7 linked regions of the Sus scrofa genome follow. The main gene of each other region encodes a partner of the protein of the gene in region 3 in a complex. Links are inferred from orthologs where the notes say so. Each region holds a gene or a part of one and is shown on either strand. Other genes may lie near its edges.

Evidence for each region.
Region 1: ARID1A (region 3) and SMARCA2 share a complex: the UniProt entries of both Homo sapiens proteins name them as parts of the neuron-specific chromatin remodeling complex. The link is inferred for Sus scrofa from reciprocal best matches to the Homo sapiens genes ARID1A and SMARCA2.
Region 2: ARID1A (region 3) and SMARCD1 share a complex: the UniProt entries of both Homo sapiens proteins name them as parts of the neuron-specific chromatin remodeling complex. The link is inferred for Sus scrofa from reciprocal best matches to the Homo sapiens genes ARID1A and SMARCD1.
Region 4: ARID1A (region 3) and DPF1 share a complex: the UniProt entries of both Homo sapiens proteins name them as parts of the neuron-specific chromatin remodeling complex. The link is inferred for Sus scrofa from reciprocal best matches to the Homo sapiens genes ARID1A and DPF1.
Region 5: ARID1A (region 3) and PHF10 share a complex: the UniProt entries of both Homo sapiens proteins name them as parts of the neural progenitors-specific chromatin remodeling complex. The link is inferred for Sus scrofa from reciprocal best matches to the Homo sapiens genes ARID1A and PHF10.
Region 6: ARID1A (region 3) and SMARCD3 share a complex: the UniProt entries of both Homo sapiens proteins name them as parts of the neuron-specific chromatin remodeling complex. The link is inferred for Sus scrofa from reciprocal best matches to the Homo sapiens genes ARID1A and SMARCD3.
Region 7: ARID1A (region 3) and DPF3 share a complex: the UniProt entries of both Homo sapiens proteins name them as parts of the neuron-specific chromatin remodeling complex. The link is inferred for Sus scrofa from reciprocal best matches to the Homo sapiens genes ARID1A and DPF3.

Annotation. Positions count from the first base shown.
Region 1 is NC_010443.5:219,742,422-219,745,921, forward strand, and holds part of SMARCA2 (probable global transcription activator SNF2L2), read right to left. Parts: intron 3,190-3,500; coding exon 3,079-3,189; intron 161-3,078; coding exon 1-160. UniProt on the Homo sapiens protein: ATPase involved in transcriptional activation and repression of select genes by chromatin remodeling (alteration of DNA-nucleosome topology).
Region 2 is NC_010447.5:15,999,278-16,002,777, reverse strand, and holds part of SMARCD1 (SWI/SNF-related matrix-associated actin-dependent regulator of chromatin subfamily D member 1), read right to left. Parts: intron 2,458-3,500; coding exon 2,322-2,457; intron 184-2,321; coding exon 61-183; intron 1-60. UniProt on the Homo sapiens protein: Involved in transcriptional activation and repression of select genes by chromatin remodeling (alteration of DNA-nucleosome topology).
Region 3 is NC_010448.4:84,115,729-84,119,228, reverse strand, and holds part of ARID1A (AT-rich interactive domain-containing protein 1A), read right to left. Parts: intron 3,382-3,500; coding exon 3,249-3,381; intron 3,081-3,248; coding exon 2,905-3,080; intron 2,575-2,904; coding exon 2,424-2,574; intron 2,343-2,423; coding exon 2,202-2,342; intron 2,118-2,201; coding exon 2,021-2,117; intron 1,560-2,020; coding exon 668-1,559; intron 305-667; coding exon 174-304; intron 1-173. UniProt on the Homo sapiens protein: Involved in transcriptional activation and repression of select genes by chromatin remodeling (alteration of DNA-nucleosome topology).
Region 4 is NC_010448.4:47,147,881-47,151,881, forward strand, and holds the start of DPF1 (zinc finger protein neuro-d4), read right to left. Parts: upstream 2,801-4,001; coding exon 2,691-2,800; intron 2,588-2,690; exon of another isoform or gene 2,316-2,587; intron 1,341-2,315; coding exon 1,180-1,340; intron 1,095-1,179; coding exon 987-1,094; intron 1-986. UniProt on the Homo sapiens protein: May have an important role in developing neurons by participating in regulation of cell survival, possibly as a neurospecific transcription factor. Belongs to the neuron-specific chromatin remodeling complex (nBAF complex).
Region 5 is NC_010443.5:555,415-559,697, reverse strand, and holds the start of PHF10 (PHD finger protein 10), read right to left. Parts: upstream 2,801-4,283; 5' UTR 2,772-2,800; coding exon 2,685-2,771; intron 2,634-2,684; exon of another isoform or gene 2,260-2,633; intron 1-2,259. UniProt on the Homo sapiens protein: Involved in transcription activity regulation by chromatin remodeling. Belongs to the neural progenitors-specific chromatin remodeling complex (npBAF complex) and is required for the proliferation of neural progenitors.
Region 6 is NC_010460.4:5,985,966-5,989,465, reverse strand, and holds the end of SMARCD3 (SWI/SNF-related matrix-associated actin-dependent regulator of chromatin subfamily D member 3), read right to left. Parts: coding exon 3,410-3,500; intron 3,203-3,409; coding exon 3,041-3,202; intron 1,931-3,040; coding exon 1,833-1,930; intron 1,675-1,832; coding exon 1,437-1,674; intron 1,239-1,436; coding exon 1,116-1,238; intron 999-1,115; coding exon 897-998; intron 702-896; coding exon 648-701; 3' UTR 346-647; downstream 1-345. UniProt on the Homo sapiens protein: Involved in transcriptional activation and repression of select genes by chromatin remodeling (alteration of DNA-nucleosome topology).
Region 7 is NC_010449.5:96,251,555-96,255,692, reverse strand, and holds the start of DPF3 (zinc finger protein DPF3), read left to right. Parts: upstream 1-1,338; 5' UTR 1,339-1,402; coding exon 1,403-1,434; intron 1,435-1,587; exon of another isoform or gene 1,588-2,157; intron 2,158-2,769; exon of another isoform or gene 2,770-2,855; intron 2,856-4,138. UniProt on the Homo sapiens protein: Belongs to the neuron-specific chromatin remodeling complex (nBAF complex).

The sequences.
Region 1 (3,500 bases), on a different chromosome or scaffold from region 3:
TGAGGAGGGCCCAGAGTTCCGGCAGCTTATTCTGCAGTGGGGTCCCGGTCAAGAGGATCCTCCTGGGGGCCACGTAGTGAGTGTTCAAGACCTGAGTCAGCTTGCAGTGGTGATTCTTCATTCGGTGGCCCTCGTCCACTATCATATATTTCCACCGAATCTATAACATAAAAGGAAAGACCAACATGGGGTGAGCAAGGAAAAACACAACTACTTCCAACAGGGAGGCGGTGGTGCAGAAAACCAAAGAACCCATGCTTGCTGCGTGATATGGCATGATACTCCTTAGGACAAGAGGATCTGAATAGTCTATTTCCCACACCTGACAGATTATGGCATACATCATGTAATAGCAGAATGGACTAGTGGAATGTGATTTCAAATCACCCTTCCACAGAAAAGGAAACTCGGACCCAGAATGAAATGGTTGGGCCAGGACTAGCTCCCATGTCTCCCCATCCAATACTCCAATTAATGCTGTATCATGACAGCTATCCCAGATTTAATGGATATGTTACCTCTGCTCAAAGTAAGTAGAGAGATTCTAGCTCTTCACCTGAAGCAGAAGTGAATGACTGATTTCTTCAAGATGGCGCCAGCAGGTACCTGGAGCCAAAAACTCTTTTCTTCTATTATCTTGGCTGACTACTACCTCCAGGGTTCAGCTCGTGTTCCTTTTTCTTTTTCTTTTTTTTTTTTTAAATTTGAACTAGTTGCTAATATTAAAAAGTTGGACTACTTCACACAAAAACTTGGACATCCACAGAGTTCCGTTGTGGTGAAGCAGAAACGAATCCGACTAGAATCATGAGGTTGTGGGTTCAATCCCTGGCCTCGCTCAGTGGGTGAAGGACCTGGTGTTGCCATGAGCTGTATAGTGTAGGTCACAGATGCAGCTCTGGTCTGGCGTTACTGTGGCTGTGGCATAGGCCGGCAGCTGTAGCACCGATTCAACCCCTAGCCTGGTCCCCTCCATCTGCCGCAGGTGCAGCCCTAAAAAGCAAAACAAAACAAAACAAAACAAAAAAAGAAAAAGAAAAATCCAAAAACATGGACATACAGCTTCTTTGAAAAGAAAAAAATGACAAGATCTGGCAACCTGGGTTCTCTTAGTTCATACATATTCTTGACCTGCCAGTTTTAGGACCCCTATTTCAAGTAGCTAAAATGAAAGGATATGGCAGACAGGGCAGTGCTAAAATATCATTCCTCTGTTTATGCCAAAACTTCAGCATGAAACACAATCTATTCCTACAGCCTGACCATCACTTCAGGGATGAACAATGACCCTATGACATGCTCTTCCTTCCTAAGTGTACACACGGTCCCCTTCCTGGCTCACACCTGACCCTTCAGCCCTCTTCAAGGTCACTGTTTCATAAAAAGAGAACAATGAGAAACATTCCACTAAGCCTATCCATTCCCTACAAAACGGTGGCAATGGCCAAGAAAAGCATCTGGTGCTCAGATGTCCCTGGATCCCGCTACAAAGCTCTTAGAGAGAGAGGCAGACAGCAAAGCATTCTATAATATCCTCGCCTTTCTCATTAGAAGCACCAGAAAAGTCAGAGAAAAGGAATAAAATCATCAGCCAGGCTGGAATGTGCAGGTCAAAGAAACTACCAGGGTTTTATTCTGGTTTTTTCTTCCTCCACTGTCTCTAAGAAAATGGTTTTAAGAAATAAAGTTAGATGAGCAATTCTCCCAAACTTGCCAATAGCATGAAAAGATGCCAGGGGATAAAAATATATTTAAATAAATATTCCAAATCTACCTTTCTGCCTGATTTAGCTTAGGAAATAATAAACAAGGAATCAGAGGCCTATGATTTTGCTATTGGGTCTTCTACTAATTAGGTCTTTCACTCAGAAAAAAAAAAATTACTGCCCTTTTCTAGATCTTCATTTCTCCAGTAGCAAATAAAAGCCATACACCTTGTTACCAGGTGCCTCTGATGAGTTTTGAAATATGTATGCGGAAGATACAATAAAGAAAATTTTTTAAGGGATCTGAAATGTACAAGCACATTCCCACAGTTACACTGAAAACATATCATTTTTGACACTGCCAAGTTCATCTCTGAGTATGAAGAATAGGAACACAGCATTGTCGCTGGTGCCATCTCAATTATTAAACCTCCCCTGGGAACCCATTTCCTTTATGTTATTTCCAAGGATGCCATGAAGGGAACTCTTCATCCCCAGAGCAAAGGTTTAATGCAGAGTTAGAAAAGACCCCAGAAATAGAGATTCTGTTCAATTTCGGCCATAACTTAGTTTCAGATTAGAGTGCTTTCAAAACACCACAGGGTAAAGAAAAAAATTACTAAATGAAAAAAAAAATTAAGCTTTCATATTTGCTCCATGACAGAAACTACTTCCACCATTCTATATGAATATATTAGGAAGGAAGATGTTATAAATGGGGGAAAATGTTTATTTTTTAGCTAAAGGACAACTTAGGACCCAGAAATGAGCAGACCTGTAGGTTGCAGGTAAAAAAAACTCTTTCCCAGCGCCAAATACAGTCACAGAAACAGCCCAGAGTAATTCAAAAGATAATAACCCACTATTTTGCTCGGAAAAACATAAAACAAGGACAGCACGAAAGCTCAGGCTTGGATAAATGTTCATATGGAGAGGACCATATGGAGAGACGCCTGCTCATCTTTGGAGAGACAAAGGCACTAGGAATGAAGTTATGCTACTGACAATAACCCAGGGCAACAAAAACAATTACTTCTTCCACAAGCACAATGTTCAGGGCTGTTAGAGAGAAAAGGGGTTGCAGAAGAAACCCAAGCGAATTTTTTTTTAAGAAATGCAAAGTCATTAACTATGAGAGGGTAGCTAAGAGTCCCAGGATCAATGATACACAACAACCACCCAAAAAACGTGCATAAAGTTAAAACCCCATGCCTCTAATATTTCTGACTCTGGGGAAAAAAGAGAGAAGGACGGAGGGAGGGAGATAAGCCATCTAACGATCAAATTACACCAGTGAGAATAATCTGGAGGAGACTTTATACTCCAGTGCAATAGTTCATGACTATAGAGAAAAGAATTTTTTTAAACTTACCTTTGCAAGAATGTGCTTGTCTTTTATAATGTATTCGTAAGTGGTCAGGAGGACATTAAACTTGCCACTCCGTAGCTGGGGGACAAGGGAGCGACGCATGGCAGGGGTGCCCTGAATGGAAAGGAAAAAAGGAAAAAAAAATTTTATATATATATATATATTACCCGATGGAAGTGCTTGTGAGTTGTCTCTCGCTATTCATGGCTTAATGGAGCCCAGTCACATGACTAAGGACTGCACATACATGCAATTATCATATATGGATCCATTATCCAAGAAGAAAGTGGCTAGCAAAATTGCACACACATCTGGACACTTTTCAGACCCTTATGGAGAGGCTTTCCCAATGCAGACCAAAGGAGGGCAGGGAGAGAAAAGGAAATTACGGCGACCTCAAGGTAGCAGGGAACCTGCTGCTCTGC
Region 2 (3,500 bases), on a different chromosome or scaffold from region 3:
AAAAGCAACTGTGAGCCTCACAGGCCTCAAGTCCCTTTGCACCTGTCCCGGGTCCTCTACCTTGAGGTCCCGGCACTGGGACTGAAGCCAGTCGTTGATGAAACCCTGAGGGTCTCTGGCGAAGCTCAGCATGAACTCCCGCTGGGTCTTCAGCTGATTGATAGTTTCTATTGTCTCATGGATCTGAAAGGAAGGAAGAAGCTCCTGACATCTCCACGCTGGGGGAACACAGGGCCAAACGGCAGACAGCGTCTGACTTCTCCTTGTGCCGCTCGCAACCCAGGAACAGAGTGTGGCCCAGAAAAGGCACTGCTGCCCAGAGCCCCCAGCCCTGGCTCCGGTTCATGTTCGTTCCACAGGTGACATGCCCTGTGTCCCTGTGGGCCCCATTCTAGTCTCCACAATGTCCAGAGTGGGGGACGCCACACGGTAAACACTTAATCCACAGCACAAAGGGGTCCCGAAACACTCTCAGGCAGAAAAGAGGTGGTGCCGAAGGCTGTCTCGAAAGCTCTGGTCTGTGGGTTTTGTCCTCTGCCCTCTTCTGGTTCTCTGCACTCCTCCTGGTGACATCATCTCCTTAGCTATCTTCCAGGACCTCTGACAGGGTGAAGAGTCCCCGGTCTGCAAACCAGAGCCCGTTTTCTAGACGCCCACCAATCCAACTGCTTGACCACTCAAGGCACCTTAAACTCTCCAAACGAAATGCACCATCTCTCCCCCAAGCCTGTTTCCAACCGGGTGCTAGGACTACGTGGCTAGCTGGAGAGCTGGGGGTCGGCACAAAGCCTCTTCTCCCCACACCTCACCCCGCCGTCTCCATCCAGGGTCCGAATCCTTTCAGTGCCATTTCACACCTCCCCGGGCTGCCTACTCCCCTCCATCCTCACTGTCAGAACCCTAAGTTTAGGCCCTCAGCACACCTCACACGCCTAACTGCCCCACCACCTAACTTCCTGGCGCCAGATCTGCCCCCTGAGAGTTCACTCCCCATGTGCTGCCGGTGATCATTCTAAACGCATGCGCACCAGGCCCTCAGTTTTCAGGACAAAGTATACACCAGTTCTCCCTGCATCAAAGCTGCCTCATGACTAGACCCCAGCTTCCCGATCCAGTTTCCTTCTCCAGGGCCCTGAGCTGAGATTAACACAGTACTTCTTGAACATGCCAGGCTCTCTGCACCTCTCGGGGCCTTCATATACCCTGTCCTCTCTTTCTGGAATGTTCTCTGACCTCTCTGCCCCTAAGCGCCATCATCCTTTCTCACCTGTCATTAACTCCCACGTTGTCCTTCAAGATTTAGTTGGGGGGTTCCTGTCCTGGCTCAGCACTAACGAACCTGACTAGTATCTATGAAGATGCAGGTTTGATCCCTGGCCTCGCTCAGTGGGTTAAGGACCCAGCGTTGCCGTGAGCTGTGGTGTAGGTCACAGATGTGGCTCGGATCTGGCATGGCTGTGGCTGTGGCGCAGGCTGACAGCTACAGCTCTGATTCGACCCTTAGCCTGAAAACTTCCATATGCATGCCCAAAAAGACCAAAAAAAAAAAAAAAAAAAAATGTAGTTGGGATGTCAGCTCTTCCAGGAAAGTCTGCCTGCTCTCCTTTGTGTTCCCAGAGCCTTTTTGGTTTTACTTGCACAGACTATGTCTAAAGTTAATGATAATAACAATAGGAACAAAAGTTGCCTTTTTTTTTTTTTTTTTTGGTCGCACCCCTGGCATATGGAAGTTCCCGGGGCCAGGTGACTGAACCCGTGCCACAGCAGCCAGGCAAGCCATAGCAGTGACAAGGCTGGACCCTTAACCTACTGAGCCACATAAGAACCCCACCATTTGATCTTATGCGCCAGATACAATGTCATGTCTTTACATGTACTGTCTCCTTTAATGCTTGTAACGACCTTAGAGAAACAGGTATTACGGTCTCTGTTCACAAATCAGAAAATGAGGCCCAAAGCTATTAAGCTATGAAGCACAACTTGGGTGTCTGGTTCCAACCAGCACCAAAGTGCCTCACATACACTAGGTATGAATACATTCTGAGTGAATATCAAGACTCAAAAGCAGGAGTTCTCACTGTGGCGCAGAATCTGACAGCAGCGGCCTGGGTCACTGCAGAGGAGGGGGTTCAATCCCCAGCCTGGCGCCGTGGGTGAAAGGATCTGTTTTTGCTGCAGCTACAGCGAAGATTGCAGCTACAGCTTGGATTCAATCCCTGGCCCAGAAACTTCCACATGTCCACTGAAAACAACAAAAGAAAAGCAGCCAAGCAGCTAAGCTAGAGGGCTGGTGGCCCCATCATCCAGGGCCCGGGCCCTACCTTGTTGTCTAGAGTAGCAATCTCCTGCTGGCTGGCGGTGGACAGTAGGAAAGAATTCATCTGGGTCTTCAGGGTATCGTCCACTTCCACATCAATGTCATAACAAGCTGTCTTTTTCTGATCATTCGGGTCAACACTGGGGAGGAAAACAAGGGCTTGGTAAAGGGCTTGTCCCCTAAGACCTAATCACACAGAGTCAAAAAAAAGGTCCAAACCAGGAGTTCCCGTCATGGCACAGCGGAAATGAATCTGACTAGGAACCATAAGGTTGTGGGTTTGATCCCTGGCCTTGCTCAGTGGGTTAAGGATCTGGCGTTGCCATGAGCTGTGGTGCAGGTCACAGACCTGGCTCGGATCTGGTGTGGCTGTGGCGTAGGTCGGCAGTTGCAGCTCCATTATAGACCCCTAGCCTGGAAACATCCATATGCCATGGGTGTGGCCCTAAAAAGCAAAAAAGAAAAACAAACAAAAAGACTGTCCAAGACTAAAGGGCAAGGGGTTAACTACAAAAGGGCACAAGAGACCATTTGGGTGCGACATAAATGCTCTGCCCTTTCCTTGTGGTGGTCGCTACAGAATGCACACATTTGACCAAAATTATTCACCCATATTTCAAATGGGTGTGATATACTGCATATAAACCTCAATAAAGTTGATTTAAAAAACAACCTCAATGGCAGAGTTCCCATCATGGTCAATGGAGCAAATCTGAATAGCATCCATGAGGATGCAGGTTCGATCCCTGGCCTCGCTCAGTGGTTTAAGGATCTGGCATTGTCATGAGCTGTGGTGTAGGTCGCAGATGTGGCTCAGATCTGGCTTTGCTGCGGCTGCAGTGTAGGCTGGCAGCTGTAGCTCCAATTAGACCCCTAGCCTGGAACCTCCATATGCCATGGGTGTGGCCCTAAAAAGATTTTAAAAAACAAAAGACAACAAAACCCTCAGTGGTAAAAATTCAAATGGTACAAAAGACATCCAGCAAAAAGTAGTTTCTCGGAGTTCCCATTGTGGCACAGCAGAAGACAAATCCAACTAGGAACCGCAAGGCTACAGGTTCGATCCCTGGCCTTGCTCAGTGGGTTAAGGATCTGGTGTGCCGTGAGCTGTGGTGTAGGTCACAGGTGTGGTTCAGATCTGGCGTTGCTATGGCTGCAGCGTAGGCCAGCAGCCGTAGCTCTG
Region 3 (3,500 bases):
TCTCAGTACTGGGGGCCCATGGCTGCTGGCAAAGTACTGGCTCGAAAGGTATCAGAGAACAAGTGGGAGGAGATCATGTTGACCAGGGATGGCTTAATTCCCTGGTCGCTTAGCACTGTCTTTGTCAAGAAGATCCTAGGCCTTCCCAATCTTCCCCAGGCACCTGTACTCACCTGACTGAGGTTGAAAGTCATGATGCTGTTGTCATCGTACAGCAGGATGTTAATGGTGTCTAATGCCCATGTGCTCTCTGCCAGCAGCCCAGACTTGAGGGACATCATCACCCGCCATGCCTCCGGGGTTCCTGAAATAAACCTCCACGTCGTCCATCCACCAAGCCCAGGTTGGCAGGGGCCCTCCCACCCCAGAGCTGGCTCATCAGTCAGGCTACTCTGAAGAGAACACATGGTGAGAGGCAGTTCCCATCTGGGAGATGACACACATCTGCCCCTCAGGGCTTCTAAGCTCTCTTAGGACATCACTGTGTGGCGATTCCTTTAGTAAAGCCTGATATCAGATGATTTCTTCCTTACCCAAAGTTCTTGGACTCTCTTTTAGTCAACACTGGACCTGCTTTTAACTCATCCAGAACATCGGGATGGAGAGAGAACAATGAACAAGATGCAAAGGGGCAGATTCAGCAACCCAATCAAGGAGGTCTCCTTACCGATGTCTTTCATTGTAAGCCGCCTCCTCTGCTTCAACACAGGCTGTGTGGCTTCAACAGAGCCAGGTGGGAAGGTGATATCCCGCCGAATCATAGGGGGCTGCACAGGGGCAGGTGCTATGTGCGAGGCAGGTACTGGAGGACCTGCCTTCTGCATCTTCATCCCAGAGTGCAGGAAGGGAGACTTGCTAGGAGAGGTTCGGTTCTCCATTGGCCGGGGCAGGGGAGCGGGGCTGGATACCTGAGGAATGTGATTCTGCATGCTTGGTGGGGGCTGGTAATTAGATGGCGGGGGCCTCGTCATGGGGGGCACCGGGGCAGAAGGACCATATGGGGGCTGGCGTGTGCCATGGGAAGGCCATGGGCCTTCATGGTTGGCCCTCTGATCCGTGTGCAGCATTTCATCTGTTCGGTTCACGCCATGATAGGCAGGGCCTTGGGGGGCAGAGCCCGTGCTCTGCCTGTTGGCGTAATTATAGGTCATGTCATTACGCCCCTGCCACATGGTGCCTTGTTGAGCAACCTCAGCCGATGCCTGTATGGGGCCGCCCATCATCTGCGGTGGCATGTTTTGCTGGGCATTGGAGCCAGGGGGTGCTGAGACACGGTCTCGGCCAAACTGGAATGGAAACTGGTTCTGGGGGCCGCCTGCTGGTCGGCGCTCAGTAGCAGCAGTGGCAGTGGCAGGATAGGCGTTGCCATACTGGTTGTACACATCTTGCTGAGGGGAAGGCTGAGCAGCTTGTTGCTGGCTGGCAGGCTGGGGCTGGGCTGGGGGCAACTGCTGCTGCTGGGGCTGCCCCTGACCCGTGCTGTATGGCACGCTGTACATCTCCCCTTCATGCCGCTTGGCAGGAGGGCCGTATGTGCCATCCATTGGCCGCTTGTAATTCTAAGATAGGGACAAGCAGAGGGGAAATTAATACTCTGAACCCGGGGATAGGAGACCTACAGCTGACAAGATGGCTACATCAGACACGTACTGGGCTTACTTCTGCCCCTCTGAGAGAGGAGGGGACACAGATTCCATGGGAACAAAAGAATCACCTTTACACGTTATCTTTTGAAATTGTTTCTGAAAGTAAGAACCATTCTTTGTTCCCTCTGTCTCTCCCTTGCTCTACGTAGAAAAACGTAGCAAAGTTTAAAAATCAAAATAAGGCCTGTTTCTAACACTTGCAGAGAACTAGAGACTGGATTAGACTCCAAACAGGGAGAAGATTGAGGGCTTGGCTCTTTAGACAAAAATGGCTATTTGGGAAGAAGAACACCAAACCATCTCAAGTTTTTGACCAAGGTTTTCTAACTGGCTCTCAGAGGAACCAGTGTCATCCCACCCACTACCTTTCTCACCTGCTGCTGCTGCTGATACATTGTGGTCTGCTGGCTGGGGAAGGGGCTGCCGGAAGGGGTGCCTTGAGTGGAGAACTGATTGCCATAGGAATCATGTCTGCAGGAAGGAGAGAAACAGAGGATCAGGGTGGGATGGCGAAAAGCCTTAGCCACAGCAGCACCAAGACCAAGCTTCACTCACCGTTGCTGCTGCTGCTGTTGCTGCTGCTGTGGGGGGTAACGGCTAGGAGAATACATCCCCGAGTCTGGGGTGGAAGGCATGAGATTCGGCTGTGGGGCTCCAGTGCCCATGTTTCCCTCGGGTCCTATTCCAGGCTCCGTCCTAAAGAAAAAGCAGAGAAGCAGGTTGAGTCCGTGCTAGCCGTGGGGTCTGGGGTGGGACTGGAGTGGGGGCCATGCTTACCTCACTCTGTCATAAGGACCTCCATAGGGATAGTGCTGCCGAGGTCCCATCGCCACATTTCCCAGCCCAGGGCCGGCAGCTCGACTGTAGGGGTCCCCCATCCCGCCGTTGGGGCCCTGCCCTGAGGACATGAAGGGATCACTCCCTGGAGCTGAGAGCAAAAGGGAAGACAGTGAGCAAAGTGGTTGTTCAGCAGGCCTAACAACCTATACTTTGCTTGCCCCAAAGGCCAAGGACCTCTCAGAGCTCAGGTTTGTTCCAACTATTTTTCTGACAGGATTGAAACAGAGATCTAAAGAGGCATGTAAAGGGGTGACACGGTGAAGAGCAGGAAATAAAAAAGGAGGATGAAGGAGGGGGTTAGGTCCAGAAGTGCCTCATCTCAGAGGATGGTTCAATAGGAACCTTGAACCACTCTCAAGATATCCCCCCATCCCCTGGCCCTGTCCTGAAGGACACAAGGCCAACTGCAGTTGGTCACCTTTCCTCATGCTGCCATAAGGATCCTTATTTGGCTCGTAGGACATGCGCCCCATCATGTCAGAGGTATTCATACTGGGCTGGTACCCAGGGTTTGGAGTCATGGAATTCCGCTTCTGGAATGTGGGGTCACTTCCATCAGGAAAGGCATCCTGGATCCCGACTGAATTGCTCCTGCTCAAGAGTGAGGAAAGCTCATTAGACCCCAAACGAAGCTATTACTCCAATAACGCGAGGCACATGGGTTCACTGGTCGGGAGACCAGGGACCCCCTGAGCTGCACAGGAGCTCATGCACTTCGGGCCCAGGATTCCCCAAAGCACCTGCCCCTGCTCCTGGCCTCACCTCATGCCTGGCAATGGGGGGATCTGGCTGTGTGGTGTGGATGCTGGAGTTGGTGGCTTCAGGTCTCCTCCTTCTGCCATGGAACTGCTGGTTGACTGAGGTGTCTGTGGCCCCTGCATTGACCCTGATCCCGCTGTGGACAGAGATGCAGGGTAAGCAGGAAAGCGTTTAACCCTCACAGAAACACACAAATGTCCCAGAATCTCTATGAAAAAGATTGTTATGAGGCTAGAGCTGTCTGTCACCCTTCTC
Region 4 (4,001 bases), about 37 Mb from region 3:
GACACACCCTGATGCTCAGATACACCTGGACCCATGGAGGAAAATATCCAGACCCTTGGGTCCACCCAGAGACACTCAGAAAGGGACCATTAGACCATCAGATATGCCCAGACCCACAAGAGGAAGACACAGCCAGACCCTAGCAAACACCTGAACATTCTTAGGGGAAACAGAGACACACCTAGAGAGAGTCACCAGGGTGGATACACACACATAGGACATAGAGACAGTCCCTCTGGGGCAGTCAGACACCGCCAGATAGACACTCCAATACACCTGGCCCCACACAGAACCCTGGATCTACTTGGACAAGGAAAGAGAAACAGCCAGTGATCTAATAGTAGGGGACACAGTCAAGAAGTGCTAAGGCCAGAGACTCAGGAGGCAGGCAGCCCATGTACACCTAGTGGATCAGATACTTGGGGAAGAGCTTCTCCCAGACCTTCCAAAGCATCTGGCACTGAAAGGAAGAGACAGTTGGACACCCTGATACACTGACTCTCAGGAACAGTTGGACCCTCAAACCAGACACACGCAAGAGGAAATAAACCTTCTAATACACTTAGAAACACCTGAAAAGAGACACAAATACTGAGATACACTCTACTACAAATGGACAGTTACGACCAAACACTCTCACACATCCAGACACATTCAGACATCCACAGAAAGAAATACAGCCCACAAGGAAGAGATACAAAGACTGGATACACCTGCACACACATGACAGATACCACTCTGTCCTAGAATAGGCTGGGGCCCAGTCAGGAGAAAGTACAGTCCAAAGTTCAGTCACTCAGGGAGAACCGGGGAAGCTCTGGACTACAGCCAGACACACACTGGCAGACACACAGCCAGCCACTCAGACACTTTGGGAGGGGAATAGAGGTGAACGCTCAGACAACATCAGCATCAGCACACACTTAGCAAGCGTGCTGTGGGCACTGATGGGAGCCACCCCGAGCACAGGACGAAGCTCCACCCACCGATCTTGTACTCGCAGGGCCGGAGTCTGGGGTCCTCCAGGATGTTGAGTCTCCGTTTCTTTCTCCAACAGCGGGCGGGGTACGTATAGATCTGCCCCGGGGCCAAACCTGGCGTGAGAAAGGCGGTAAGAACAAGGCCGCGCAGCCACCGCCCCGCCCCGCCCCGCCCCGCCCCCGCCCTCCCGGTGGGTACCCGGCCCGCGGTGGGTCTTCTCCATCCAGATGTAGCAGTTGTTCTGGGCCACGCCGGTCTGCGAGTCGAGGAAGGGCAGGCGCAGGCTGCGCTCGGCGCACAGACGCGCGTTGTAGCTGCGGCAGTGCTCGATGGCCTCCCGGTAGAAGTCCTCGCCTAGGCTGCGAGGGGCGGGTGAGCGGGCGGGCAGCTGTCAGCAAGGGCAGCCCACCAGGTCGCCCAGCACCCCTCCCCCACCCGCTCGTAGGGAATGGGTGGGCGGACTCCTCCAACCTCCCCTCTCCCCTCCTGTGGCTCCTGGACCCAGGAGCCCCCCAGCTGGGATTCAAGCAGGTCCCCAGCCAAGGAGTGGATACAAACACACACAATATAGAAACAGACAAAAATACACTGGGACCCATCCATACAGGCACATGTCCAAATACACAACACAAACGAATCACATAGAGTCACACGGGATTCACACACAAAGAAACACACATCCCAAGACTCACAAAGGAGAAACAGACACATCTCACATATGTGCACACACAAACATCTACTGAAAAACACAAATATCTCAAGTAGAGACAGATCACACACATACCCGTGCTCAAATATACATCACATATCTAAAGACACACAGCATGCAAACAGATCACACACCACACACACACTCACTCATGCATTCAAAGACACACTTAGATACACAAATGTTAAAAGAGAAAAAAACAGGAAAACAAACTACCCACATATGCATGTACACACATAGCCAAAGACACAAAACACACACACTATCCAGATACGCTATACAAAGAAATCACACATATTCACACAGGATACACACACATATTCACAAAGGCACACAGTACAGAAACCAACATCTCAAATATCACCTATTGGAGCACACAAAGATACATACATACACAGCATAGAAACAGACAAATCAACCCATCTTCACACAAAAACTTGCTCATAAATACATGCACACCTACATATCCAAAGACACAGAGCACAAATGATGCACAGTTTCAAAGAACAGGCACACACACTCAAAGACCCAAATATCTAAAGATACCTAGTGTGGAATAAAAGAAACTAAACACATATCCACACACATATCCAAAAAACCCAGAACCCAAACAAGTGACACATACTCTACATTCCAAGACAAAGGTAGTGTGGGCTTCACTCAAGTTTACCAAGGCCCTAGCGCCTCCAGACAGTTTCTCCCTCTCCCCAATCCCGGGGGTCGCAGGGCGGGACATGACCCCCTTTCCCCGAAAAGAACCCCAAGAAGACTCTGAGTTCCCCACACACTCCGCTTTTCCAGGAGGAGCGCGTCGGACCAGGTTCTTGCCAGAGACCCGTAGTCACATACTCGCAACCCGGCGCAGCCCGGCCCACGGTGACAGCCCCCAAGACACCCCATCGGCCCCACCCCCAGCTGCCACACACACGCACACACACACACACGCCCGCCCAAACCCGCCCGCGCGCCCTCCCCCCCGCCTCCCGCCGGCCCGCAGCACCTCAGGGGGCCGGGGATGACCGTGGCCATCTTGCTCCCCGGGTCCTGCCCCCAGCAGGTCCCCGCCGGGCCGGTCCTCCCAGCGCTCGGGCGGGCGCTGAGGCCGCCCATCCATTCATTCCCGGGGGGCGGGAGCACCGGGGCCACAGCCAATGAGGGCGGCGGGGCGGGCCCGCCCGGGCCATGCCGGGAGTGGTAGTTCCCGGCCTGGGGCTGGCGGGACCCCGCAGAGAAGCGGGGTCAGAGGTGGGGCCAGGGCACGCACAGCCATCCCCGCACGCTCACTCATGCACACCTCCGAGTCTCACACATGCGCGTACACTCACACCTGCACACCTGGTCTCGCGCACACCCACACGCGGCAGCTTACACACACATTCACACCTATACTCCCTGCCTCCCACGCAGGCTCACGCACACTCCCTCTCCCACACCTTCACACAGACTCACATACATTTACACTCACACAAACACTCCAATGTCAAGAGACTTAAAGACACCTTACACAGGTACACACGCGACACGTGGCTCACCGACACCGCCCCCACATACACATTCCACGGACACGTGGTTCACTGACACCGCCCCCCCCCAAGTCCCTCCTAACTCCACAGAACCCTCTCAGGTCCCCAGCTTTCTTTCTGGCAGGGATCCCGCCCCACACAACCCCTTCCTTGCCTCCAACAACAGCTAGCTAGTTAAGAGTTGTAACCACACTTCCTGGGTTCAAATCGTGGCTCTGCCACTTCGTGGCCATGTGACCTTGGACAAATGATAACCTTTCTGGGCCTCAGTTTCCTACTCTGTGAAGTGAGGGTGATGCCCCATGGGGGTTATTGTGAGGATTAAATGAGCAAGTATAGGCAAAGTGTTTTAAAAGTTAGCTGTCAGGTAGTCAATGTTCAATAAATTCATTCCTTCCACAAAGAGGACCTGATAGGCACTAAGATGTGAAATGGTGATAGCTAGCCATTATCAGAAAGAATAATGCTGGGCATGTAACAGATGCTCACTGAGATTTGTTGAGGAGTTCCCATTGTGGCTCAGTGTTAAAGAACCTGACTAGAATCCATAAAGCCTCCGGTTCTATCCCTGCCCTCCATCAGCAGGACCCAGCGTTGCCAAGAGCCAAGGTGTAGATCGCAGACATGGCTTGGATCCCGCGTTGCTGTGGCTGTGCAGTAGGCCAGCAGCTGCAGCTCTGATTCGACCCCCTACCCTGGGAACTTCCATATGCCTTAGGTGCAGTCTTAAAAAAAAAAAAAGATCTGTTGACTATAAACATACTGAGTAGCCACCATGTGCCAGGCAC
Region 5 (4,283 bases), on a different chromosome or scaffold from region 3:
TTTAATAACACACGTAAGACTGCTGCAGTCCTCTGAAATGAAAGCAAACCCTCCTAGCCAGCAAGGATAAAAATGTATGGATTATTTAGTGTTCAACTCAACTCATACCTGGTTTACTGGCTATCTTTTAAATCCTTGATCTTTGAAGAAGACACACAGGACTAAAAAAAGATTACCAATCCTGATAATTTTTCTTACACTACAAAAATTTAGCAAAAAAAAAAAAAAAAAAAAATATATATATATATATATACACACGTAAAATAACACACACTACCTCCCCAAAAAAGAGGCTTAAAATATTTTTAAGTGGAGTTCCCGTCGTGGCGCAGTGGTTAACGAATCTGACTAGGAACCATGAGGTTGCGGGTTCGATCCCTGCCCTTGCTCAGTGGGTTAAGGATCCGGCGTTGCCGTGAGCTGTGGTGTAGGTTGCAGACGCGGCTCGGATCCCGCGTTGCTGTGGCTGTGGCGCAGGCCGGTGGCTGTGGCTCCAGTTTGACCCCTAGCCTGGGAACCTCCATATGCCACTGGAGCGGCCCAAAGAAATAGCAAAAAGACATATATATTTTTTTTTAAGTGATGTTTTCCATTACCTGACCGTATCAAGGCCGTCAGACCGCTTCATTAGGGAAATGAATGAGGCAACAAAGGTTAGGAAGTCGATTTAATCATATATTAGCTAAGAATTAACAGCATAAGGCTTAAAAAGAGCAGACTGAGGGAGCGCCTTCAGGGCATAGGCGCTGTCACCGCAGCACAGGCTTGGCCAAAAAAAAAAAAAAAAAAAAAAAAAAACAAGATTCCAGGACTAAAATGGGTTTTTAAAAAATCAATTTTGTTAAACCCATGGTTCTAAGAAGGCAGAGGCAATGAGTATGCAGTTCGTCGAGCACAGAAAGCTGGGCGGCCTGGAATCCCACTGGGCACTGGCTTTGGGGGCTGAGTGGTTGTCCTCTGGGAGCCACCCTCATCTGCAAAACCTAGATGGGGCAGTGCCCCAGGCCTTGGCTCAGGCAGGAATTAAAAGAGCGACTACATGGGAAGCACTCAGAGCAAAGCCTAGCAAACAACTAAGTGCCCAATACAAGTCAGTCACTACGACCATGACGACAGTGTCACATCTCACATGGCTCCACCTGTTAGGAATTTACTCAGACTCTTTACCAAAGAGCAAAAACCGTGAGTCTCCTCTTCAGTTCTTAGCAAGTGAGCACTCAGTTAAAGAGCTCTTTACACTCCTACTGAGAGAGAGCAACCAGGTAGGAGATGAAGAGTCTAAATCTATCCTCCAAAAACGTACAATTAACAGTAAGTCTCCCAATTGATAGGTTTCATATTCGATAAGCATTCAAGTATCATTTCCTATCTATCTCACTTGCTTCTTAGCACTTTAAGGACTTTTACGTCAATTTGTTTAAGTATATTTCCCTTGGCTAAAAAATTTAAGATACCAAAAAAGAGACAAAAAGTTAAAAATGCGGAGTTCCTGTTGTGGCTCAGTGGCAACGAACCCGACTACCATCCATGAGGATGCAGTTTCAATCCCTGGCCTTGCTTAGTGGGGCTCAAGGATCCAGCATGGCTCCAAGCTGCTGTGTGTGTCGCAGACTGGGCTCCGTGGGATCTGGCGTTGCAGTGAATGTGGGTGGCATAGGCCGAGTTCATCTCTAGCCTGGGAACTTCCATATGCTGCACATGTGGCCCTTTAAAAAAAAAAAAAAAGTTAAAAATGCAAAGTCCTCAAAAAAGTTGAAACCACAATTTCACATGTAGTGTTTGAGTTGGCTATTACAAGTCCTAGGCAAATGGATTATACACAAAGTGGACATTAGAGAGCCATCACTGCAACACATTCCCATAACATGATGGCAACCAAGAGAGAAGTGCTTGCACCCTCGATGCTGACACAGAAACCCGGGTGTTAAGATGGCCAGCTACTTGCATCTGAGTCACAGGTGGCTACCACCTTCAGATGAAATGCTCTTGGGACAGACCCCTCGAGCTGGGCAGGGCGAGCCCTGCACTGTGGAAGCCGACGGTGTGGGCCCGGGGCCAGCCGCTCGCACAGGTGGGGTCTTGAGCCCGGGCAGCGGCCAAGGCCGGGAGCCAGGCTTCGCGCAGGGCCGTCTGCAGGGCCCCCGGCCCCCCGTCCAGCTTCAGTAACAGGGCACGCTCCGCTCCCCTGTCACGAACCCGTACACTCACTTCAAAACAAGAGGTTTTCACGCTCATCTCGATTTTCTGCACAACTCTGACCTTACAAACACGTCCCCACAGTACGAGCCACGAAACTCCGAGTCTGCCTGGGGATTTCAGCGCCGCGGAGCACGGCCGCGGCCCCCAGCTGAGTCCGCCACCGGGACAGCGTGTTTGCAGTGCTTTCCGCGTCTGTTTCGCCCAAGGACTCAACTCCTCCCGAGCTACTCTCCCAAACGCACACGGCGCCCCAGGCCGCCGCCGCCGCCGCCGCCGAGGAAAGTGTTTCCGCCCGGGAGGAAAGTTTGATTCCACGGCGAGGACGACGGCCCCGGGAACCGGCGCGGAAACCGCCAAAAGGACGGGGCGCCGCGCGGGGCTGGGCCGCGGCGCCGGGACAGGCGGCCCGGACGCACCAGCCCGCCGCCCGCAGGCCCCTCCCCGCCCGCCACCCCCGGCCCGGCCCGGCCCGGCCCGCTCCTCACCTTCGGGGACTGCGCTCCGGGCGTGGCCGGGTCGCTGTCGCACGGCCGCGGGGACAGCGCCGACCCGGGGCCGCCCGCCGCCGCCATCAGCCCGAGCGCCCCGCGCCGCCGCCGCCGCCGCCGCCGCCGCCTCGTCCCGGCCGCCGCCGCCGCTGCCGCCGCCGCCGCCGCCGCCGCGCGGGCCGCCCGCCGCCCGGGCCCCGCCCCCTCCGCCCGCCCGCCGCCCGGGGGCCGGCCCCTGCCTCCGCGCGCCCCGCGGCCCGCCAGCGCCGCCGCCACCGCCATGGCCGCCGCCAGCGCGCCGCCCGCCGCCGCCGCCGCCGCCGAGCCCGCCGCCCTGCCGCCGCCGCCGCCGCCGCGCCCGCCGCGCCCGCCGCCGTGCGCGCCCGCCGGGCCCTCGGCCACCGCCGCCGCCGCCGCGCCCGCCGGCCCCGGGCCGCTCCCCTCGGCCCCGCGCGGCCCGCGCCCGTCTCCCCGCCTCCCGGCCGCCGCAGCCCGGCGCGCTCCGCGGCCCCACCTCCCGCCGCTGCCTCAGCCCCCAGCCCCGCCCCGGCCCGCCGCCCCCCGGCCCGGCCCGGCCCCTCGCACGTCAGCCCTCTCCTCCCACCGGGGCTCCCCGCCCCGCCGCGCCCCGCCCCTCGCCCTCCAGCCGAGGGTCCCCGCCCCCGCCGCCTCCCTCCCGGGGGCCCCCGCCCCCTCCGGCCAGGGGGTCCCCGCCGCCCCGCCCCCGCCCCGCCCCGCCTCCCAAGGGGCCCCGCCCCCTGCCCCTAAGCCCCGAGGGGCCCTCCTCCCGCCGCCTCCCGCGGTCCCTCCTCCCGGTGGCCCCGCCCCCTCGCCTTCCCGGGGGTCCCCACCTCCTAACCCCTCCCTCCCAGGGGTCCCCTCCCCTCCGCTCGCCCTCCATCCGGAGGGCCCCTTCTCCCGCCCTCCCAGCCGTCCCTCCCAGATGATCCCCCCCACTCCGACCCAGGGTTCCCCGCCGCCCCGCCCCCTCCTGGCGTTCCCGGGGGTCCCCACCTCTCTTGCCCCTCCCTCCCCTCCCCCCGCTCTCCAGGCCGAGGGTCCCTTCTCCCTCCGTCCCTCGAGGATGTCCCCGCCCCCTCCGTCCCAGGGGTCTCCGCCGCCCGCCCCCTCCTCCTCTTCTGGGGGTCCCCGCCCCTTGCCCCTCCCGCCCGCCCGGGGTCCCCTCCCCTCCCTTCCCTTCTCCTCGCCCGCGGGCTAGTCTTGGTGGGATGTGGAGGGACCTGGCTTGTCCTGAGTTCCCGGCTCCCGTGGCTGCCCGTTATCCGCCTTTGTTCTCTGCTCGCAGCCTTGAGGTCTCTTGGACTCCACCTGCCGTGGAAACTGTACTTTCCAAAAACATCCTCAGCTTGCTTGCATTTGCAGATTTTACCCACTTCCACCTCTGTACGTGCTGCAACCATAAAATGTGCAGGTTCACAGTACGACTGTTGGAATGTAGCTGATGCAGCAGCTCCCACCAGAGATGCGAGAGCTGCTGGCGTGCAGAGACCAAGGACAGATGACCCTCAGCGGGACTCTTGGGGACCATGCTGACCTCGGTCGGACTCTGGCTCCTCTTTTTCTAGCTGCACAGCC
Region 6 (3,500 bases), on a different chromosome or scaffold from region 3:
TGGCAGGCCAGGAAGAGGAGGAAGCCCTGGAGGGGCTGGAGGTGATGGATGTTTTCCTCCGGTTCTCAGGGCTCCACCTTTTCCGGGCCGTGGAGCCAGGGCTGGTGCAGAAGTTCTCCCTGCGTGACTGCAGCCCTCGGCTCAGCGAGGAACTCTACCACCGCTGCCGCCTCAGCAACCTGGAGGGGCTGGGGGGGCGCGCCCAGCTCGCCATGGCTCTGTTTGAGCAGGAGCAGGCCAACAGCACCTAGTCCACCCCGGGGCCCCGCCACCGCCAGCCACCTAGTTCCCTTTCCGGCCTCAGCCCCAGGAAGGCCAGGCGAGATGGACGGACAGATGGAGAGCTTGTTGCTGTATTTTTTTTAATAAGAAAATGTTATTAAAAGTGTCTTCTGCCAAACCGTTTTTAGGTCTAGGGCAAATGGAGTGAGGCGGCTCTGCGGGAGGGGTGAGGAACTGCCCAGAGGGACCCACGGCCTGCCCCTTCCTCCTCCCTCCCCAGTTGCCAGTGACCACACGAGTGCCATCAGATGAATGACCTTTAATCCGGTCCCCACCTCGGCCGCAAGGCATCAGGAGTGACGGCAGTGCCCGAGGTGACAGGGCAGGGGCCCAGGGGCCCACAGCAGCGCTCGTGCCCAGGGCTCCTAGGTGTTGCGCACAACCAGCGACTGCTCCAGCTCCTGCCTGCGCTGCTGGATCTTTAGAGAGGGGAGCAGGAGCCGGGTTACCGTGTTCCCGGTGAGTGACAGGACCACCCCCCCCACCCCCGGCCCTGGAGGCGCAGGGGGAGCAGGGAGCCTCCCCTGCGTGGTGACGGGGAGGGTGGAGTGGCTGTAGAGGCTGAGCAGGGAGTGGGGGAGGGTGCGGCTGGAGGTGTCCTGGGCCCTCCTCACCTTGCAGTAGAAGTAGCGGCTGACAGCTTCCTGGGACCAGGGCTGGTGGTAGAACTCAGCCCGCCGCTCCTCCTCAGGGTTGCCTGCCACGTCTGTCATCACCTGGGAGGGAGCAGCGGGTCAGCCCTGAGCCCGGATCCCCTCCAGCCCCTGGGCACAACGTTTACTGTCTTCCCAATGTGCTTGTCTTCCATCCAGTGCTCCCTGAGTCCCCTTCACCTTGAGGTCCCGGCTCTGGGAGCGGAGGAGGTCTTGGATGTAGCCTTTGGGGTCTCTGGAGAAGCTTAGCATGAAGTCCCTCTGGATCTTGAGCTGGTTTATGGATTCAATCGTCTCGTGGATCTACAGGTAGAAAGACAGATGCTTTCACCTGGCCTTGCTGATGTGGGCGAGGATGGGAGGGGGAAGGGAGGCGGGGGGAGGGGTTTGCTGCTGTTCCTTTGAAGGGCTGTCCCTCAGGTCCCCTGGGGCTGGACTGGGCCTCTGCAGTCCCAGGGAAGGGGGGATGGGCGGAGCTCCAAGTAGCAAGGCAAGGCCCACCTCCCCTTCTTCTCTCCATAGGCCCGTGTTCTCGTCTGTTTTGTCTGTGCTTGTGTCATTTTGGGGTTGATGTCCCACTCCAGCTCTGGGCTCTGGCCCCACCTTACTGTCCAGAGCGCTGATCTCCTGCTGGTTGGCTGTGGACAGGAGGAAGCTGCTCATCTGTCCCTTCAGTGGCTCCTCTACCTCCACGTCAATGTCGTAGCACGCTGTCTTCTTCTGGTCCGACGGGTCCACGCTGCCAGGGAAGTCCAGCCCTTGGTGTCCTTGCTGCCCCACAGAGGCCAAGGGGAGGGAAGGGGCCCCGAGTGGGAGGCAGCGGGAGGGACTGAGAGGCCAGCCCCCCCCCCCGCCCCCACAATGACTCCCTGTTCTGAGAGCGAACTGGGGCCTCACCTGATGACGTGGTTGATGACAATGGGGTCAGGGGGCAACAGCAGAGCTGTGAGGCGCTGGGGGATCTCAGAAAACTTCAGCCGGGGACAATCAAAAATCTGAAGTAGGAGAGAGAGATCACTCGTGCCGCATGTTTGGAAGAGCACACATTCCCTTCTGAAAAGGCCTGGGGAAGCCAGAGCCCACGGGGCTGGGCAGGGGCTGCCAGTGGGGCGGGTCCATGCAGCGCATGGTTGACAGCGCCAAGGCCTGGGCTGCTGGCCTGGGTAGAAATCCTGCTTCCACCACTTCCTGTGCAGCTGAGCAACTTACCCAACACCTCGGGCCTCAGTTGCTTCATCTCTAGAAAGGGGATGATAATAGCGCCCATCTCACGGGGTGGCTGTGAGGTTAGAGTCAGCACACATAACGGGCTCGGACCAGTGCCTGGCACATGGTAAGTGCTCAATAAACACTGACTTTATTTTTACCACTCAGGTTTATCTGCTGTTTTTCTTTAAAAATTATTGTTGGGGTTCCCATCAAGGCACCGCGGGAACAAATCTGACTAGGAACCATGAGGTTGCAGGTTCGATCCCCGGCCTTGCTCAGTGGGTTAAGGATCTGGCATTGCCGTGAGCTGTGGTGCAGGTTGCAGATGCGGCTCGGATCCTGCGTTGCTGTGGCTGTGGTGTAGGCCGGCGGCTATAGCTCTGATTTGACCCCTAGCCTGGGAACCTCCATATGCTGTGGGTGCCCTAAAAAGTAAAAATATAAAAATAAATAAATAAAATTTAAAATAAATAAATAAAAATTATTGTTAATGATCATCTCCACTTTGGTAGAATTTTGTCAGGTCACTTCCACAGCAGTTTGTCAGCACCCTCCTTACTGTAAGAGAAGGAATAAGGCTCAAAATAGCAAAGTCATTTATCCAGAGTCCGGAGCCAAGACTGGAACCTGGGGATCCTCACTCCAAGTACCAAGGATATGCTCCCCAAAGCTGCTGGATTCGCAGGGCTCCGATTCCCCAGCCTGGGTGGGCTAAGACGGCTGTGGCACGGAGCGGGGCGAGGAAGAGCCTGGACTCTGGCTCTGGCAGCCGGACCAGGACTGTTTACCGTTTCTGATGCAGTCAGGAGGGGAGAGGTGCTGTTACCTTAGTGGAGGCACTTCCCCTCCCGGAAACTGCCTGCTCCCCGTGGCCCTGGGTTCGAGAGAGAGGGTACCTGCTGGAAATACTTGTCCCCGTTGATGTACTCCTTGTCGTGAGAGTCCTGCAGCCTGTTGGTCTTCACGTACTGCCACAGGGCCTGGACAATGGCTGAGCGGCTCTGCGTGTGCAGCCCCAGCAGCCGGGCCAGGCGGGGATCCAGTTTGAACTGGGGGGGCTGGGGAAAGGTGACCATGCAAGTTAGACAAAGGCGGGCGTGGAGGGAGCGCAGGGCCAGGCAGCTTGGGACGTAGGGGGGGGATGTGGTGGTCGGGCTCCGTGGAAACATGCTTTCGGAGCGGGGGTGGGAGGTGTGAGGAGCCTGGGGCCCCCCTGTCTGGTCACCCTGTCCCGGGAGGGGGCTGGGGTGTCTGGGGGCACGGACCTGGTAGTCCAGCATGAGGAGCAGCGTGCAGCGCACGCTCAGGTCCCCCGGCCTCTTCACCTGGAACCCGTCCGTCTCCTGAGTTGTGGGC
Region 7 (4,138 bases), on a different chromosome or scaffold from region 3:
CAGTTGCACTCTGAAAGTTCTGGAACTTAAAAACTTGTTATTTTATTCATTGCTTGGATGGAGTGCTGAGCAAGGAAGTGAGAGGGCACAGCTTTGAAGAACTGGCAATTTGGCATCTCCTCTCCCCCCTTTTCACCCCTCCCCCACTATCTTAGCTATTTGACCTCATTAAACAACTTTGGATAGTAGCCAGATTTCTGTATGCTAACGAGGCCCCTATTCATGATTTAGTGCGATTTCATCCACCCTGAGCTGCCTGGCTCCTCAGTGGAAGCCTGGCTTCACAGAAGTCTCTCAGTTTTGTCAGGGCTTCGCCAGTGAGGAGTTCGCACGGACTTGAAGCAGACACATTCTCTGAACGCCTCAGGTCACATCTGATTATTCATTAGCAAATTCTTTTCACCTTTTTATCTAATCAATGAAAGGTGACGCCGGAATCGCGTATGCTACTCCCCGAAAGGGACTCTGGCAACACCCATCTAGGTTCCACAACTTTGTCTCGTTACTCTTTCCGAAGAGCAGAAAGCGTTTGCAAAAGTTCTCTTAAACCACCCCTCCCCTAAGCCTAAAGGTCAGAGCGCCAGGCCCCAGTTGGCTCTCCAGCTCTCTGACCATTTAATTTCCGAAGTTTCTGGTTTGTGCGAGGACAGAGGAGGTGGCAGTGGGCAATTGCCTGAGTGACCACCGCGTATTAAGTAAGGAAAGCCTGGCTGCTGGAGGGAACGAGCCTGACATTGAGACATTCCAGGGGGAGGGGAGTTGCTGTCCTGGAGTCGCCAGGAACGGCGGCACCAGTTCCAAGAAATCAGAGGAAGGTGGCCGAGATAAAGACAACACTTCAGGAATGAGAATATTAAAAAGCCGCAGGACCCAGAGCATTAGTAAGCGGCAGGACACGTGTAGTAATTAGACGAAACGGCACCCTTCCAATTTTTGCACTGGAACGAGGGGAATTGTCCTTTGGGGGATTAAAAACGTAACAGTAAAGCCAAAAGCTAATGAATAGGGTTCAACGGTTTGCTTGCAATACTTAAATATTTTCTGTCCAGGACTTAAATATTTCTGTCCAGGAGCGCAACTCTCTGCAGTTGTTTAGAAAGTAAGGATTCAAACCAAACTAGAATACTCTCGTGCGTCTCCACTTTCCCTCATCCGAAAAGGAGCTCTACGCGCGGTACTGCCCCTTTAAGACCTGCTTGCTCTCGGGCTCTACAAAAGGGAGTGACCTCTGGGCTTTGACAGCTCCCCTAATAACTACCACCGTGCAGGCCCCGCCCACCTGGCGACCAGCCGCGCCGATTGGCCAGCGGGCCGGTATCCCGTGCTCTGATTGGCTCGCCGCTTCCCCTGAGCGAACCTTTAGAACTCTGAGACAGACAATATTCTGTTACATTGTAGCAAAATGGCGACTGTCATTCACAACCCCCTGAAAGCGTAAGTAAGACTAAAAAATGTACATTTTCCTCGTGGTTTCAATATGAAAAAAAAGGCGCCTTCTGCGTGCCGAGCGCTGCCAATGCACTGCGCTTGCAGGCGCCTACAGCCGCGGTGGGGCTTCTCTCTTTTCTTTCAGCTCTTACTTCTTCATTTTTTTTTTTTTTTTAACCCGGGCGCGCAGAAATGTCAGGAGAGGCAATTAAGAAGAGGAAAATTGGTACATTTGTGTTCTTCTAAATTGGCGGACTGAGGGAGAGGGGTTACTGGCAGGGGAGCCAGGCGCTCGAGTGCTCTACAGCGAGGGGATCCTGGGCAGCTCAGGGACAGCACGGTCCCCAGAGTGCCCAGCTTCTCCGGGCGGTGAGCGCGGCGCGGGGGGCGGCTCAGCTGGGGGCGAGAGCCAGGCTGGGGCCGCCTGGGTGCACTTGGCTGAGCCCGGTGCTTCTGGAGCCCGCAGCCCCCGCCCCGATGCTAGGTCGGCGGGGGTGAGCGGACCGCTGCAGCTCCGGAGTTTTCAGGGCGCTCTCCGCCTTCTGATCGCTTGCGGGGAGTTTGTGCAAACCTTCCGGAGTTGGGAGGACCGCAGGGGGAGCACCGGGTCCCGGGAGCCCTGGGGCCCAGGTGGTTGCCCGGGGCTTTCCTGACGGGGCAGCCCCCAGAGCTTGACTGCGCTTCGGGCGGTCGCCGGTGTGTCTCCGGGTGTTGTTTGTGGGGAACTGCCTGTAATAAATTAACGACTCGGGTTAACTTGGGGTTGATTTGGAGACTGGGAAGCTGCAGGTCTTATGAATGGTGTTCTTGCCTCCTCTGGGTGAATAGTCGAGGCTGGCGAGAGGCAGCCTGGGGCTCCCCGCCCGAGCGGGTAGCGTCTGCTCTCGGCCAGAGCTAGGGGCAGGTGCCTCTGGCCACAGCCGGGAGACTTTGAACGGACGCCCAGATCCGGGACGGAGGGGGGGCGGGCTGGGCGAGGACACGCGGGGGCCAGTCCCCAGGTCCGACAGCCAATTCCTGCCCGCCTTCCTTCCCCCTCCTTTTTATCCTGGCTTCCTTCCTTCCTTCCAATCCGTGGAACTGTTAAGCCGCCAAGTCCGCTAGCGATCGCGGAGCCGGGGGTGGCTTCGGAAAACTAGCGTCGCTCTAAAAGGGGTGCTCTTGGCAGTAATGTTGGCAGAGGGGCACTCCCTCCGGATCGCAGCGCGACGTGGGTGGGGGCTTGCACCCCTGGGATTATGACTTCGCAGCTAGGCTGGAAGCCGCGGGCAAGGGGAGGGGGAGGTGCGGGGGAGGGCATTTCATGGCGAATTCTCTCGCCAGTGCCTGGAGGATGCCCACCTAGGTTCTTTCAACTCAGCGCATCCACGTTCGCACCCGAGGCTCCTCTTGGAGTTGAAAGCCACGTTCGCACTGGGGGAGGGGGGCGGCAGGGGAGTTCTTAACACGAAGGAACTCGCGGGGAGAATGGGACGTGTTTGCACCAGCTTATCTCCTATCGGTAGTAGGAGAAAAGGTTAGGAATGTCCCAGATCTTGGAGTTTTAAATGTATAAATATGTATTAACCCTAAGAGGACATTGGGAGCTGAGGCTGATTAGAGAGCAGCTCTCGGCTTCAGTTCTCGCTTGGAAGCTCTGATACACTACACTTGAACGCTACAGCGTTTCACCCAAGATAGAAAATGTTTTATGGCAGAATAAATGGGCGTAACTTCACCGCATCCTCTCTCCCGGTCCCTCGCGCTGCTACACCGCTGATGCTGTGAGTTTTTACCGAACCCACAGCTGATTTGCAGTTTTCACATTTCCAGCCCAAATCGCGTAGCCGAGCTGATGCCACCTGGTAAACTCAAGTTAGAGGATCTATTTCACATGTGTGCCAGGTTTGTTTCCTTTTGGGAAAGCAGTACCCTAGTTACCCCTGGGCCCGTTTATACGCTGGCGGGGGCAATATCTCTACGCTCTTTAGCTCTTTACTACCGGCTCCGGTTTTTTGTTTTTTGTTTTTGGACAGCAGAAGACTACATGTTTGGGGAGGGTATCTGTATAGGGTGGGGTTAGAAGTGGGGGAAGGGAGAGAGAAGCAGGCTGGTTATTGGAATTAGTTCTGAATTATTACACTTGTACTTTGTATAATTAGAAACAGTTGCAATGCCATGTATTTGTAATTTTGTGTCGTCACACACACCTACATCTTAGCATACCCTTGACATCCAGCCTGCTTTTTCTAGGTGGGAGTTGAGTGGTCATTTATAATTAGCTGCTCCTTTTTGCATCTTGACCCCTTTCCCTGGGGATAAGGAGGTATAAACAATACCCCTACCAGCCCAGCCTTCTGTGCCTTGGACGGCTTTTAAAGTTCTAGCGCAGGGGCACGCACGTTGTTACCGGGAGATCTACATCATCGGCCTTTATTTTTAAAAACACTTTGTTTAATAGATCATCTTGTATATTTCATTTGTTTTTAAAAGTTGCTTATCAGGAAACAATACACACATGAATAAATTATGCATGGGATAAATTAGAACAAAGCGCAGAGACACTTCAGGCCGAAGGGATAGATGGCGGTGCTGGGAGGAGGGGAGCAGGGAGAAAGGTTTGGAGAGCTATGTTTTTATCCTCACGTGTCCCTCCTGACAATGAAACGGGGCTGAACGACATTAGCATTTTCTCTGCGTGCCTTCTGAGTCTCTCTCTCCTTTCCCTTAA